Linked DNA regions of Drosophila melanogaster. The gene in region 1 interacts genetically with each later gene. Each region holds a gene or a part of one and is shown in the gene's direction. Other genes may lie near its edges. The genes, in order: crol, gcm and stg.

Region 1 (5,126 bases):
ATTCTCCTCGCCTCAAAGGTGTGGGATGACCAGGCCGTTTGGAATGTAGATTACTGCCAAATACTCAAAGACATCACCGTGGAGGACATGAACGAGCTGGAGCGCCAGTTCCTCGAGCTGCTGCAGTTCAACATCAATGTACCGTCCTCGGTGTACGCCAAATACTACTTCGACCTGCGCACGCTCGCCGAGGCCAACGAGCTCAACTTCCCCACGGAGCCGCTGTCCAAGGAGCGGGCCCAGAAGCTGGAGGCCATGTCGCGTGTGATGCAGGACAAGGTCACTGCCGAGGCACTGAAGAATGGGATCAAGAAGTGGTCCTCCATGGACAACATCAGTCAGGGCGGGCCGCGACGCAGCGTGGCCATACTATCGTGATTTATATTAGCTTACTAAAACCGAACAACCAACCAACAGCAGCAATGAGATCCGTACTCTGTAGTCCGTAGTCCGATCGAACGTCATTTGAGAACCGTAGCTCTGCGCTGAATCAGATTTTGCACACAGATTCAGATACATTTCGTAGGCCACCCGGTTGCATAAGCTTTTGCGGGTGGCTTTTTAGCCAGCACACAGACTCTAAAAGGAACACCCAAATACGTGCAGAAAGAATCACAGTCTTATATACAATATATACATACACGAAGAAAAGCGTTTTAACCACACGTCTCGAATTAAGGACCACTTTTTACATATACGTACATGCGATCGATGTATGTAAGCGAAACTACCGATGCAGTCATGGATTTGGATGATGATTTTAAACAGAGACACAGAAGTACTACTACAGCAACGCGTAACCAATTGCCAAACGAAAGATCACAGAAGCAGAAAGAGATACAGAAACCTAAACCGAACAGTAGAGAATTGTTTGTACAAAACGGCTTAAATAATATTGTAATTGACTTGGCCACCTAATCCAGCTGGCATCTAAGCAATTTAATCTCAACGGTTGGCCACGGCCACCAAATTGTCATTTACTTAGCGCGTCCGCGCCCAAAAAAAGAAAAGAAAAACATTTCCCTGTACATTTGTTACGAATTTAATTTGTTTACCTTACATCCATGTTTTCTTAATAACTCAATATGATTTCGTGTGATTCTTATATAGTTTCCATTTAGCTTTATATACGATGAACGATATTCGGCTTCCCCGCGTCAGGCTTCAGGCACAAATCGATTTTCTGGGGGCGCGGCCTGCGGCAAGTTGATTTGTTTTTTTTTGGTTCTTAGCATTAGAAAAACAAACAAAATCCGAGCGAGAGTTGCAAGGAGCACAGCGCAATATTAACCCAAAAGATTTGTGAGTAAATTAATGTACTAGACATATAAGGATACGAATTATATGCAAAATGTATTTTATTTTGTAATTTATTTTACGATAAAGCTAAATAAAAGCAAATCAAAGAAATAGACTTTCTATAACTTAGTTTTTGTCACTTTTTTTTCGAAAACGTGGGTTTTGAAAACGAAAGCGCGCTTATTCGAAGTCAAAAACATGGCCATATGAAACAGAAAGTTTTTGAAACATTTTTTTTTTTTTATATAGAAAGGACTTCTGGCTATTCTATGTATAAAAACATTTTAGAAACATATCTTATTCTAAATAAGAAGATCGATCATAGGATTTCTTTCGAAAATCGTATAAAATGTATTGTATAATCCACTTATTTTCTTTCCCTCCCACAAAATATGGATTCAAAAATCTCGAACAAGATTATGTGGAAAAGTATTGATAATCACCTAAACACATTGATTTTCAACATTATAAATACTCCACTTGCAAATGCAAAAAAAAAACTCTTTAGAAATAGTCAAGATCCTACTATTTAAGTTTATACTTTCAGAAAATCTTATAATTCCAATTACACTTTATAACTTATTAAATTTACGCTGCTAATTATTTTTATTATTTATAAAATACTTTACGAAAAACTTAATTTTCAAAGCTATCGACGCAGTGCCATCCCTAATTTGGTATTTTTGTGTATTTGGTATATTTCAAAATTACATTGAAAATAAAGCAGCCCGGTCACACTGCCAGCTCTGGAGAACTATCGATGTCATATCGATACTTCTTCCAGCTCTATACACTGCTTCTCTCGCTCTTCCGCCCGCAACTAAAACTCTGGATCCGCGTTAAATGTTAAGAAAATAAAGGCACCGCTCTAATTAAATGGCCAACCGCAAGTGTACAGTGCGCGCAATGCAGTTAGTGACCAGTGGAGAGTGATGTGCAAGATCGGGCCACGAAACCAAGATCGCCATTGAGCAATCCGGGAACGGCGTCTGTTGAAAAGGGACGCTGCTGCAGGCAGAAAAAGGAGTGGTAGCTCGCTGGTCTATGGATAAAACGTAACTATATCGCTGGTGAGTGCAATTCGAATTGGCGACTCTTGCATTCGTATTCAAATTGGCCAATTGGACCCGGCCGAATTTGTGTGCTTAACCGTTTTGCCGCCTTTTTGTGCCCAAGCCCCGAAAAAGCAGCACAACAACGGGAGGGGGTTGGTGGAGGGAGCGGCGGAGACAGCGGCAGCAAATCGTTAATAAGAACAACGCAATCGCACGCACACACACACATGCGGGCTCGAGCACGCATTGTATCTGTATCTTGCGGTGTCTCTCGTAGTCGCTCTCGCTCTCTCGCTGCCTCCACACCTCTTGCCAGTGCTGGCCACTTGGATTCTCTCTAGCCAGTTTTTGTAATTGGAGTAAGTGCAGGTGCTGCTTGGCTAGTTATCTACTCTGAATGCTAAAAGTAGTTTAAGTTTTCATCTAATATAAAAATTTGTTGAAAGGGATACTTTAATCAGTAATTTATAAATGCTTTTTTGACTTTTTCCATTTGAATATAAGGTTATAAAGATTAAATTGAATTATTTTAATAAGTGTTTTAAATTTTCATGTATTCCGATCAGATAAACCGCCTTGTTATTAAAGTTATTTTTCTCACTGGCTTATGTAAATGTTAACTTTTTTTAGCATTGGATTGGGATTATTGGGCTTTTTACAGCTCTAAGCTAATCAACTCATTACCTGATATTTGTTATGCCTTTGCCATATTATTAAAAAAAACTTATATTTGATATTTGACTGTCAAATTTTCAATAAGATAATCAGATAGCCTTGTTATTATGCCACACTTAGGAAGTTCAATAAATAACTTTTAAATATAAGAGTCGAATCAATTGATCCCTCGTCAAAGCCAAACCGCCTGCACTGGCTCTCCCACTGGACTTTTGTGCTTTCGGCTGCCGCCCGAACGCGCCGCACGAAGAACTTTTACATCGGTCGCCTTTGCCTGCTCGCCTTCTGCTGCCTCCGCGTCTCATTCAGTTTTCAGTTTGCTTTGCTCTGTTCGCCGTTCACCACCGCCTCTCACCCGCGCGGCGTTTCGATTCTGATTGCCACTACTGTTGCACACACACACACACATTCGCCGGAGAGTGTGCCCGCCACCACCACCGTTGCAATATCAAGTAAATTTTCATATACTGGCGTCATAAGAACGAACCGAACAACCTTTTTAAAGCTTGTAAAAAATGCAGTGTTTTGTACGAGGGGAGAAGCTGCTAGAGGGGGTGGGTCGGATATGATGGGATGGGGAGAGGGACAAGTACCGGGGCTGATTGGAAACAATTGAGTTTATTTGTGAAATTCGCAGGCCAAAAAGAATGCGAGAATTATTAATCAAATGACTTTGCGGTCGACTTCGCTGTCAGTGTATTGGTGTGTGAGTGTTTTTGTGTGCGAGTGCGAGAGTATCTGTGTGTGCTTGTGTATGAGCTGCGCGCACATCCACAGCTACAGAGTTTCCATTAACGTCATCATCGTGTCATTCTTGCAAGTTTTAGAGCGAGAGAGGGCAGACGCAGGGTTGCATTTTTCTAAAATTTATTAACTATAGCACTTTAAGCGATCGGTGGCGCTTTCCGTATTGGCACTTTTTTCGCCGCCATATGTTAGAACCCAGCTCCCGATTCCAATTCCTTTAGCTTTTCCAATTGTGCTCAGATGTGTGCCTGTGTTTTGTTTAACAATTATGAAATGCACACTAATTGGCTGTAATGAAAATGTGACGGACGTTTCTCCAACTTGATCCTCCTTCTCCTCTCTCTCACTCTTTTTCCCATTCGATTCGCCGCTCTCTCGGTCGAAATTTGAGCGACAGCCAAACAAACTTAAAAATAAAAAGCGGCAGCAGCGGCAATAATTATAACTATAACTCGAGTTTCGGATCTCGGCATATAGAATGTGAGCCAAAAGGCAAAACTTGTATCGACGCGCCGCCTGTACTCGCTTGTCTCTCTCTCTCTCTCTCTCTCTCTGTCTCTCTTTCACGCTCGCTCGTTAGCTACTCTCTCAGCTTTCATTTTTTTCTGTCTCGCCTCCTCGCTTTATTTTGTACTTACGCTTTGCGATTCAATTCGTTTTTATTGGTTTTCCGCTTTAGGCGGCTGGGAATTGTACGTAGCGTCGTTCGTGCAAAACGTTGTTGCTGCTGGGCCAGGGGATAGGGGGTGACGTTGCCGTTGTCGTTCAATGAATAATGAGAGACAATGTAAGGCAAAGAGAGGGAGAGAGGCAGGAGCGAGAGAGAGGCGAGACGAGAATAACAAAATAAAAAAAGCAAAACCGTGTACAAAAGTGCACGAAAAGCAGTGGGTAAGAAGGGAACAAAGAGGAGGCGGCATGGCAAGAAAGACACAACTTTTTTTCCCTGCTGGCAGCCAAAAGCAAACCAGAATGGTGAGAGGGAGAGAACGAGGAGAGGCCCCCCGTCTAGAATCTAGAAGAAAAGCAGAGAAGACTGACTGGTCGAGGAGATGCACGCACATACAGCTCTTCTAGATATAGATACAATTAATTTGATTTGTTAGCACCGAAACCGCACCGCACAGCACTGCTCGTTTCGAATTGGAATAGTTGGAAATGTAAAATTTGCAATGCCCCCCCGAAGGCAATTCCAATTCCCATTCCCTTTCCAATTAGAGTTAGAATATTTTTGCTCTTCTTTCCACGCAGACGCAGCCTTAGTTTCGTTGTGTTGGTGACTTTTGCATACATATGGATGTACATATACATATATTGACTGCAAATAAATTTTCGCTTGATTTGCTTTTG
Region 2 (4,665 bases), 2.2 Mb from region 1:
TGTAATCTTTTTCATTATTGAGTAGTCATAAAGTCTTGGCATTTAACGAACACATTATCCTACACTCGGTCAACAAATCTTTTGAGCACTCACTCACATATTGTGAATATCCATGGCCATATGTTTGGCAATCGTTATAATCCCTGGCCAAATCCCTTCCGACCAGAACAGACTATCTATATGCCAGGGGCGTAACTTCCCACGACACCGCCGACGGATAGGGTAGATGCCGAATTTACGATGACATTTATGCGTAATTTTTGGTCGAATTTTATAGCCGCAATTGGACTGAGTTTCATTGGGAAAGAAAAGAGTTCTGTTCTCCACTGGCCCCCGCAGAGAAAGTGTCAAATAAATTTGATTGCCAAGTGATGTCTCGTAATTGAAACGGAACAGTTAATTCCGGGCATCATTAAGGCGACACACCCACCTTGAGTGCGGGAATCTGGGACCAGGTAGGATGTGCTTCCCCAGCACAGCCTCATAATATGCCACGTCATGACTTTCTTCTGTGTCAACGCCCCTCGAGTCCCGGTCGGAGCACCCTTTCCCATTGTCCGCCGTAATCCTTTGAGTTCCTATCGCGTGCTACGATCCTGATCTTTGGGCGACTCCTTGGCAGAAAGGCGCCGCGGGTTGCTCGCTCAGTTCGTGTCATAATTGCATGGCATTTGGTCTGTCGTGGAAGTGTGAAAATTATGGAGTTTCCTCACCCTTTCGTCATCTTAATGATTATGTTTGTTTCGTTTATCTCTGACTTGAGATCGCCAAGGGGCCCAAGGAATTTGTTTGGCAAACTTTGCTTCATTCATATGCGTGAGTTATGGCATTTGCCTTTGGGTTTGTAGGGGAGGTTTTCCAATATGGGATTTCTTCTTTTTGATTTCCGTTTTTTTGCGTGCTAAATTGTGTTTTACGATTATGAGATCCCTGATTTCATCTTGAAGATATCGGCAGGAGCTCGACATTTCGGTTTCTTTTTTTGCAAACGTTTATTTCTTTATCGATTTTGAGATCGTGAGAAGTAGTTCCGTTAGCTATACCGTTGCCTTACCAAATTCTATAATAGTGACTATATATAGTGGTAATATTTCTATATTTCTGTGAGTCATTTCCATTAAAATTTACGTTTGATTTTGAAATTTTTTTACAGAATAATTTCTACCTCTGAAGTTAAGTAGATTTAGCAGCTTTAATGTCCGCATTAAAAAAGTCTTAAAGCCTTGAACTAAATTACTTTCCGTGCTTCGTTGGAACCATCTCCATTTTGTTCGTAACTCTGCTTGCCCTCCAACCATTTCACTTTGCTCCCCATTTCGACATCCACATCCAGTTCGAAAGTAAATAGGCCCGACCACTGGCATCTGCCAGTGACTGTCGCCAGGTGTACCCATCAGAACCCATGCCATACAGCACATCCCCATCCACACACAGCCCCATCCCCATCTCCATTTCCATTACTGATGTTGTAAACTTTTTTTCTGAACTTAATTAGCTTTGACTGGGGTTGGGGCCGTGTTCTTTGCCATCGAGTGCCTCAAACCCCTGGTTCTCATATCGTACAATTACCCAGTGGAGCGCGTGCTGCAACCGCAGGTGCTAGAGCAGCACAGCACTCGTCTCCCTGCCCAGTTGCCAGTTCCCAGCTCCCAGCTCCCTGTGCTCAAGCTCTCCCAGCTCCCAGTTCCCTATAGAACGAATTCTCCATCTCCAGCTGCTGCTACCACTACTACCAATCAAACCTGCTCGGGAACTCTCCTAATTTCCCAAACTGGAGTGCCGGATAAGGCGGATAAGCCGCACACAAGCGCACCCGAACTGGAAGTCAGCATGGACCAATGGGCGTACCGCTTTGCGACCGAGCAACCCTCGTGCGATTCGACCGCTGGCAACTTAACTGTGCTGCGCAGAGCGGGCCCAGTTAGTCAGCCTTGCGCAGTCGATGCGAACGGACGCGTCGCTCCAGAGAAAAGTTGAGAAGAAGTACACAGTAGTAATAGACTATTGAGAAGGAAAACTATAGTGACCGCGTGTGAACTTGAAACTAACGATTACATAGACACATCAAAAATGGTTTTGAACGGCATGCCTATAACAATGCCAGTACCGATGCCAGTGCCCATGCCTGTGCCCAGTCCTCCGGCCACCAAGTCCCGGGTGGCGATCGACTGGGACATCAACGATTCCAAGATGCCGTCGGTGGGGGAGTTTGACGATTTCAATGACTGGTCCAACGGACATTGCCGGCTCATCTACTCCGTGCAGAGTGATGAGGCCAGGAAACATGCCAGCGGTTGGGCCATGCGAAACACCAACAACCACAACGTGAATATCCTAAAGAAGAGCTGCCTGGGAGTGCTCCTCTGCAGTGCCAAGTGCAAGTTGCCCAATGGAGCCAGTGTGCATCTGAGACCCGCCATTTGCGACAAGGCCAGAAGGAAGCAGCAGGGCAAACAGTGTCCCAATAGGTGGGTTTTTGACTAAACACAAAATCCAAGAATTGTCAAAACTAACTCGGTATTTTTATTTTTTTTTCTTGACAGAAATTGCAATGGTCGCTTGGAAATCCAGGCTTGCCGCGGCCACTGCGGCTATCCAGTGACCCACTTCTGGCGCAGGGACGGAAATGGAATCTATTTCCAGGCCAAGGGCACCCACGATCACCCCAGACCCGAAGCCAAGGGATCCACGGAAGCCAGGCGACTTTTGGCAGGAGGAAGACGTGTGCGAAGTTTGGCCGTAATGTTGGCCAGGGAATCGGCGCTGAGCGACAAGCTGAGTAGCCTGAGACCCACAAAACGGCAGGCCAAGACTCAGTCCATCCAGGAGAGCAAGCGCAGAAGGATGGGTGCTTCCGATGTGCTCGAAACCAAGCAGGAGTTAGTGGTGCCACCCACCACCTACCTGCCCACATCGACGCCCACACATAGCACCAACTTTAATCAATCTCAGGGTTCATATGTCCCAGCAGGACAAGGATCAGTGATCAGTCAGTGGAATAGAGAGATTCACTACGAAACGGAGGATCCATGCTATGCCAATGGAATGTACTCCTACGATATGCTCCACTCACCTCTCTCAGCGCATAGCTCCACGGGCAGTTATTACCAGGAGAACAAACCGCAGCAACTGCAGCACTCACAATACCAGCAGCAACTCTCACCGCAGCAACATGTACCAGTCAGCTATGATCCCAGCCAGCCAATCTCCTCCAGCCTTCAGTGCGGAATGCCTTCGTATGAAATATGCGACGATACGTCCAGTTTGACCAGCAGCTCGGGCTACTGTTCCGAGGATTATGGCTACTACAATGGATATCTACCCAACTCGCTGGACGTGAGCAATGGAAGCCAAAGCCAGAATCTTAGCCAGGATGCAAGTTTCTACACAACCAGCTCGGAGATCTTCAGTGTGTTTGAGTCAACTCTGAATGGCGGAGGGACCAGTGGCGTGGATCTCATCTACGACGAAGCAACCGCCTATCAGCAACATCAGCAACAGGGAACTTTTCCGCATCTCACCAATTATCAACAGGAGCCGCAGGATCAGATGCAGTCCGCCGACTACTACTACAGCAATACGGGAGTGGACAACTCGTGGAACATTCAAATGGACGCGACATATCACCCAGTCAACAGCACGGATCCCATCTATTGCTAGGGGATCGGGATAAGATCTCTCATCGCAACTACTATTACTGAGCCACTCAAGCGTTGTTCTAGTCCCTAGTTGATTGATTTCCATTCATGTTCCCATTGCTTGTTGGTCGTGTATTATTATATATTGAACGTTTCTAGTTTGTACTTTTGTACTTGTTTCCCAGCTATTCCAAAGTTTTAGAGCACGTAAGAGTAATAGTATTCTTAAGCACATAGAGTTTTAAGTCACATTTCCCACCTATTTATGAACTTTTTTGTAGTAATAAACATTTTTGAAAGAAAAACTTAATCGAAGCAGCCTTTTTTTGAGAATTGACACGTGTCAAGCAAGGGAGCTCGTAATCATTGTCAGTATAACATTACCAGCGGCAGGATATACAACTAGGGATTTTCCTCAACAACAAGTTTAAATTCGTTAGTCAACCAAAATCGTGTAACAATGGGTGCTTGTCGCCCTAGAAAATGTAGTGCAAATAACCGAACTATGGCAATTGTGAGTACTAAATAAAGGCCTAAACAAATAACAATGAATAAAACCAAATTTTGTATTGAGAAGCGTCGCCGTAGAGCTCTAGTTAACTTGCTATTTTTGCGCCGTCATTTGATTGGACAGGCACTTGGAATTACGAATCGGGAAACTCCAGACCTTAGGGTAAAATCGCGGCGACGCAATCGTAGAAGGAGAATGCAATTCAGAGTCCGTACACCAAGTGATAATGCAATGCGCTCAGTAAGGCATCATGGACAGAATCCAATCAGCCCAGGATCACGGCTACAACGAAATAATCCACTTTGGGGACACGCCGACATTATAACCACAGATAGAGCGTTGGAAGCTTTAAATGGACTTACTACAGGGAACAGGGAACCAAATGCATTGTCAGTAATGGTGCGATATACCAATGGGCGGTGTAAGTTGAGCTGTACTTATTGCTAATACAATGAAGTGCATAATTAATACTCTCTTATTAGATTATTTAAGCTTAGAGCCAAGTGGAAATCAGCA
Region 3 (5,887 bases), on another chromosome or scaffold:
ACCCTTTTGGCAGTGATTTGCGAAAAGCGCGCGCGCACAAAAGTATCTCAAACGCTTTTTTCGCACACTTTGCAGGCATTTTAATGCACAGACGACCGAGAAAAAAATAAAATAAGAGCCGATGCTCAAAGCTCACTTCTTGGAATTTCGATTTACAATTTAGCTCTTCACTTTTTGCTGGTCCTGTGATTTTTTTTGTTCGTTATGCTGTTTTTGAGGTCCCCCGCTATTGTTGTGCCCCATTCCCATTTCCATTCACATTGTTGCTGCAATTTCTTTCTCCGCAGCCTATTCTCATTCTTTATCAAATTTACCCACTCACACACGCACACACACGTGTGTGAGTGTGCTTTTGCATACGCTTTTGATTCCGCTTCCTCCGCTTTGCCCTTTTTCTGGAGCCCGGCGATATCACGGTGGTATTATCTGAAATCCATAATTGCGAGGCTATAATTGGAATGAATAAAAGCATAAAAACTGGATAAGAATTTGGTAAGTAAAAATGAAAATAGCAGAACAACTCGAGCTAGAAACTACTTTTAAATAGTAGTAGTAAGTTCACAGATTTACCTCTAGTATATGTATTTTGCCACACTGTGCGCTCGGATCGCTATGAATGAGATTGGTTCTGAGCTTTTTCCTTCCCTATGCGCTTTTTTAACTTGTTCAAAACCACTTTATGATTTCTGCGTCCTTCTCGTCGTTTTGTGCTGGTTGTTTTCCATAAAGATGATCCTCTCGGCTCTTCCTGCAGCAACAACAAAAGCTGGCCAAAGGAATTCAGCGGAATGAAACCGTAGCTCATTTGGTTGGTGGCTTCGGCTGTGGTTGGTCCCGAAATCATTTACTTTCGCCTGCTCTTCAAGCGGTGTGAATGATATGGCCTGGTTGCACTGGCCTGTCCTTCATTTGTTTGCCGCGAACCTTACAAAAACACACTCGAACTGCACAGCACAGCCCATGGGTGTTCGCAAACCCCCAACCCTCCTTAGTGAACCCCTCGGATCCTCCAGAATGACTCCCGCAGGGCATCGGCGCATATGTAACTCGATTTTTGCTTTAACTTTGCCGCGATTGCACACAAACGAGGGGCTACAGTGGAGCTTCGGCGTGGGCAACTAGTCTGAGCTTCACATTATCGATTATTGGTCATATCGCATGGTTGACATCATGATTTTCCACGTGTTTGCTACTGTTAGTAGTAGTTTATCTAGCTTAAGATCTGTGTTTGTACGGATTCTCATTAAAGACACACGGTCCATCGTGTAGAGTGCTACCTGTGAATGGATCTCTGTGGCTGGAAGCTTTGCTCATTTAACGACATTGGCGTCTACGTCTGCAGAACACAAAGGAGCCACGCCCCCTCCACGACCGCCCATCCCGCCGGTGCGGCGATCATATGACTGCGGCCACTACCTGCTGATATGTAGTTTTCAGGGAGGGGTTACAAGGGGGGACAGGGGGCAGCAGGAATGCGTGGATCTCACATTATTACCTGCAAACGACACAATCGATGCCGCCTTGAAATTCTGCTTAAAGATTCGCGCAGTTCTTCAGCGTTTCCTCTTCGCTTCTTGGGGCTCCACACTATTTTCACATGTGTTCGGTTCGGAGCCTCCTCGGCTCCACTTCGGCTCCAATTGTGGCGACTTCGGATCCCCTTCGGCGGTACGCGTCGCGGTATAAAAGCTCGCGCGCCAAAATCAGTGGCCTCCATAGAGCTGGCGACCACCAAGGCGCCAGATTCTCCTCGTTTCTCGGGACATTGGTATTCGGTGCGGGATTTTGCGATAGGGGAAGTGCAGGGGAAAGGATTCTACCTGTTGCCGGCACTCTTGTGCTCCACATGAGCAGAGATTTCCAAAACTGAGTCCATATGATCCTGATTCTCCCATTTTCCCAGTTTTCCTTTTCGCATCGCACATGGCTCTGGCCCCGTCCCCGTTATGTGTGTTGGTGTCGCTCGTTGCCCGTCTCCCTTCCTCTTCTATTGGCACTTCTGGGAAGGATAGGAAGGAAAGGATAGGATGGGAAGGCAAAGGAAAGGAGCTGAGAACTAAGAGCTAAAGAGCGAAGCAGAGAGAACAAAAAACGCGCGCCATCTCGCTCGCGCCCATTAGCTCATCAGCTGATCGTGATCGGCCGGGGTGCGGTTATAAAAACCAGCTGCTCGGCATATTCAGCACATTCGTTCTCAGTTCGTCGTCGAGTCAACAGCTCTTCTTGTTCAGCCTTTCGGTTCCTCGTTCGGTGAATTGAGATTGTGCGGTTCAAATTATTGAAGAAAAAGAAAAACCTCGCACAACCACACTCCGAAATACAAAACAAAAAATCATGCTCAAACGGACACATTAACAAAAAAAAAAAACAAAAAAACCTAAATTAACTAAAATGCAATACTAGCCAAAAACCAAGGACTACCATCTCAAATTCTAAAAACAAACTGTAAATGAGTGCAGAGTGACCAAGAACAAATTGTGTTTTAGCAATTTCTTCGGCTTCAGACTCGCCAGCGAAATCAAACATCTTCGGCTCTTCGAAGCAACCAACGCAACACATAACACAACAAAACCAACAAAATGCTGTGGGAAACTATTGTGGAGGAAAACAACTGCAGCATGGATTGCAATATCAGGTAATTATGCCGCCCAAGGATTAGCAACAGCAAACCCCTTTTGCACCAGGAATACCAGTTGAAAATACGCGATAAAAAGTGCAAGTTCAAGAGCAACAGCAACAACAGCAAAGCAAAAAAAAAATACAAAAAACAGAAATGTAAACGATGGGGCCAACAAAAGTAAGAGTTCTTTTTATCACGCTCGGCACGTTTGCTTTTTGCCCGATTTTTATTTTGGCGCTCAGCTGTTGTTTTGTTGCTCGCTTGCCGTTTTTCATTCATTAAACCGGCTTCCGCGAGGCTCCAAAAAAAAGCAGCAGCAAAAAATGCTTTTTGTCCGTCGTCCGTCAGTCAGTCATTTTTTTTTTTTCGATTTTTGTTCCTTTTTTCCTCCGTGTTCTTTGCGGTTCTTTGTGGCGTGTTTTTGTTGTATTATCGCTGCGCTTGCGTGACGTGTGACCCAAAAGCAAAAGTCAAGCTGAAAAGCAGATGCATGCGAAAAGCAAAAGGGAATTCCATTTGGAGAACCGCTAATGCTTAAGTAGAATCAAGAAGAAGAAGATAAGGCGGTACGCAACGGTTCCCTCGCAATTTTAGGGAATTGTAAAAATTATCAAAAAAAAAAAAAATGGTATCAATGATATCGTGTGCGCAAGTCGAATCCCAAAAATTCCAGTTTTCGAAGCTGCATTAAAGTAAATTTCTAGTTCAGCTCCCTCTTCACCCAATTACAACAACCCCTCTCTGTATTTTCTCGGGTATTTTTGTTGTTTTTACACCACCAACGCCACCACCACCACCAGTTTGTCAGTATTTTTAGCTGGGTTTAATGACCCGCTCTTGCGAGAGTTTAGGGAAGCAAAAGCAGCTCTCTTCCTCGATGCCGAACAGTTGACTAATCCTCCCCCTCTCTTTGTTTGCTCTTGCAGTAATAACACCAGCAGTTCGAGTAGCATCAACAAAATGAGTGGATCTCGTCGTGCTCGCCGTTCCCTGGAACTGATGAGCATGGACCAGGAGGAGCTGTCGTTCTACGACGACGACGTTGTGCCCCAGGATCAGCAGCGATCGGCCAGTCCGGAGCTGATGGGTCTGCTCTCGCCGGAGGGCTCGCCCCAGCGCTTCCAGATCGTCCGCCAGCCGAAAATTCTGCCAGCTATGGGAGTATCAAGTGATCACACGCCGGCGCGCAGCTTCCGCATCTTCAACAGCCTGTCCTCCACATGCTCCATGGAGTCCTCCATGGACGATGAGTACATGGAGCTCTTCGAGATGGAGTCGCAGAGCCAACAGACCGCCCTGGGCTTCCCCAGTGGCCTAAACTCGCTGATCAGCGGCCAGATCAAGGAGCAGCCTGCTGCCAAATCGCCAGCGGGTCTGTCCATGCGCCGCCCTTCGGTCAGAAGGTGCCTCAGCATGACGGAGAGCAACACCAACAGCACCACCACCCCACCACCAAAGACCCCAGAGACTGCCCGGGATTGCTTCAAGCGCCCGGAACCGCCAGCATCGGCCAACTGCTCGCCCATCCAGAGCAAACGCCATCGCTGCGCCGCCGTTGAGAAGGAGAACTGCCCCGCACCCAGCCCACTCAGCCAGGTCACGATTAGCCACCCCCCTCCACTGAGGAAGTGCATGTCCCTGAACGACGCCGAGATCATGTCCGCCCTGGCCCGCTCCGAGAACCGCAACGAGCCCGAGCTAATCGGCGACTTCAGCAAAGCCTATGCCCTGCCCCTGATGGAGGGTCGTCATCGGGATCTGAAGAGCATCTCCAGCGAAACAGTGGCTCGCCTGCTTAAGGGCGAGTTCAGCGATAAGGTGGCCAGCTACCGCATCATCGACTGCCGCTACCCCTACGAATTCGAGGGCGGCCACATCGAGGGAGCCAAGAACCTGTACACCACCGAGCAGATCCTCGATGAGTTCCTCACCGTCCAACAGACTGAGCTGCAGCAGCAGCAGAACGCCGAATCGGGACACAAGCGCAACATCATTATCTTCCACTGCGAATTCTCCTCGGAGCGTGGACCGAAAATGTCCCGCTTCCTGCGTAATCTGGATCGCGAGAGGAATACCAACGCCTATCCGGCGTTGCACTATCCCGAGATCTATCTGCTGCACAACGGCTACAAGGAGTTCTTCGAGTCGCACGTTGAGCTGTGCGAACCACATGCCTACCGCACCATGCTGGATCCCGCCTACAACGAGGCCTATCGCCACTTTCGCGCCAAGTCCAAGTCCTGGAACGGCGATGGCCTGGGCGGTGCCACCGGGCGGCTAAAGAAGTCGCGCTCGCGACTGATGCTGTAGGTTGTGGGATGATCGTGCAGTTCGTTATCTAAGTTTGGGTGTTATCGTATTGTATATATAGACGTATAGGGGTATTTATTTCATGCTGCTTTTAAGTTGATTTTTGTTGATTTTCATTTGTTAATCCGTAGACTAAGTTTCTCGCACACGACGCAGACACACACCCGACACTCGCATTCATGCAAAACAGACAATTTCATTTGGAATTTAACGCTTTTGTTTAGTTATTATTGTTTTTATGGTTTCGGCTTTAGTTCAATTATTTAAGCACTCTAGTTCAAATTTTAAAGATAACCAACGAACAAGCAAACGAAAAATGTGCATTATAATCTAAAAACGTGAGGAACCATGTCATTTAAATTTAAGAGGCCGATCCCGAAATCAGACCCCTTAATCATTTGTAGATGATAAGCAGAACAAAAAATGGCTAAAAACAAAAAAAAAAAAAGAAAACAAATATCACACAAAAACAAACACGCTCATTAATTTCATCCATAAAACTTTATTTATAAGATCTATCGTTTAAGAGTTGAAAGTTGTAAACTTCTGCTAGGTACAATTTACGCTTATTATTTGTTTATTTTTATGTAATCCGTAACCGAACAACAAGGCACCGAAACGCAAATGCAAACAAGAAAACAAATATTTTACCATGTAATGATTATTATTTAAGCAAAGCTTATTTTTGCATCAAAAAAGGCAATATTATTGAACAAAGACCATCAATTTTAAATATACATTAATACACGACGAAAAAGAACTGAAATTCCTGGAATTTTTATCATTCAAATGGCGCCAAATGCGCATTATGTGCGGGATTTCGGTACTCTATGGGTTTTCACAGAATTAACAACTTGAAATTGGCGCGCAAAGCGAGTAGTTGCACTTTGTAAATGTCAGAGGGCGCTGTGTCCGTAAAAAATTGAGTATAACAGCGGCGACTTTTTGGCAGACTGT

The links.
Region 2: of crol (region 1) and gcm, changing one suppresses a phenotype caused by changing the other (phenotypic suppression), as found in Drosophila melanogaster (one study listed by BioGRID).
Region 3: of crol (region 1) and stg, changing one suppresses a phenotype caused by changing the other (phenotypic suppression), as found in Drosophila melanogaster (one study listed by BioGRID).

Annotation. Positions count from the first base shown.
Region 1 is NT_033779.5:11,806,369-11,811,494, reverse strand, and holds the start of crol (crooked legs), read left to right. Parts: upstream 1-2,056; 5' UTR 2,057-2,369; intron 2,370-2,522; exon of another isoform or gene 2,523-3,481; intron 3,482-5,126. Other genes in the region: CycY (cyclin Y), read left to right, coding at 1-378.
Region 2 is NT_033779.5:9,578,998-9,583,662, reverse strand, and holds gcm (glial cells missing), read left to right. Parts: upstream 1-1,917; 5' UTR 1,918-2,070; coding exon 2,071-2,468; intron 2,469-2,543; coding exon 2,544-3,660; 3' UTR 3,661-4,098; coding exon of another isoform or gene 4,099-4,152; 3' UTR 4,153-4,165; downstream 4,166-4,665. Other genes in the region: CG31709 (uncharacterized protein), read left to right, coding at 4,099-4,152, 4,216-4,570, 4,632-4,665. UniProt on the Drosophila melanogaster protein: Transcription factor that induces gliogenesis. It determines the choice between glial and neuronal fates. Also has a role in the differentiation of the plasmatocyte/macrophage lineage of hemocytes.
Region 3 is NT_033777.3:29,251,621-29,257,507, reverse strand, and holds stg (string), read left to right. Parts: upstream 1-1,707; 5' UTR 1,708-2,579; coding exon 2,580-2,635; intron 2,636-3,546; coding exon 3,547-4,930; 3' UTR 4,931-5,365; downstream 5,366-5,887. Other genes in the region: CG45544 (uncharacterized protein), read right to left, coding at 611-844. UniProt on the Drosophila melanogaster protein: This protein functions as a dosage-dependent inducer in mitotic control. It is a tyrosine protein phosphatase required for progression of the cell cycle. It may directly dephosphorylate Cdk1 and activate the Cdk1 activity.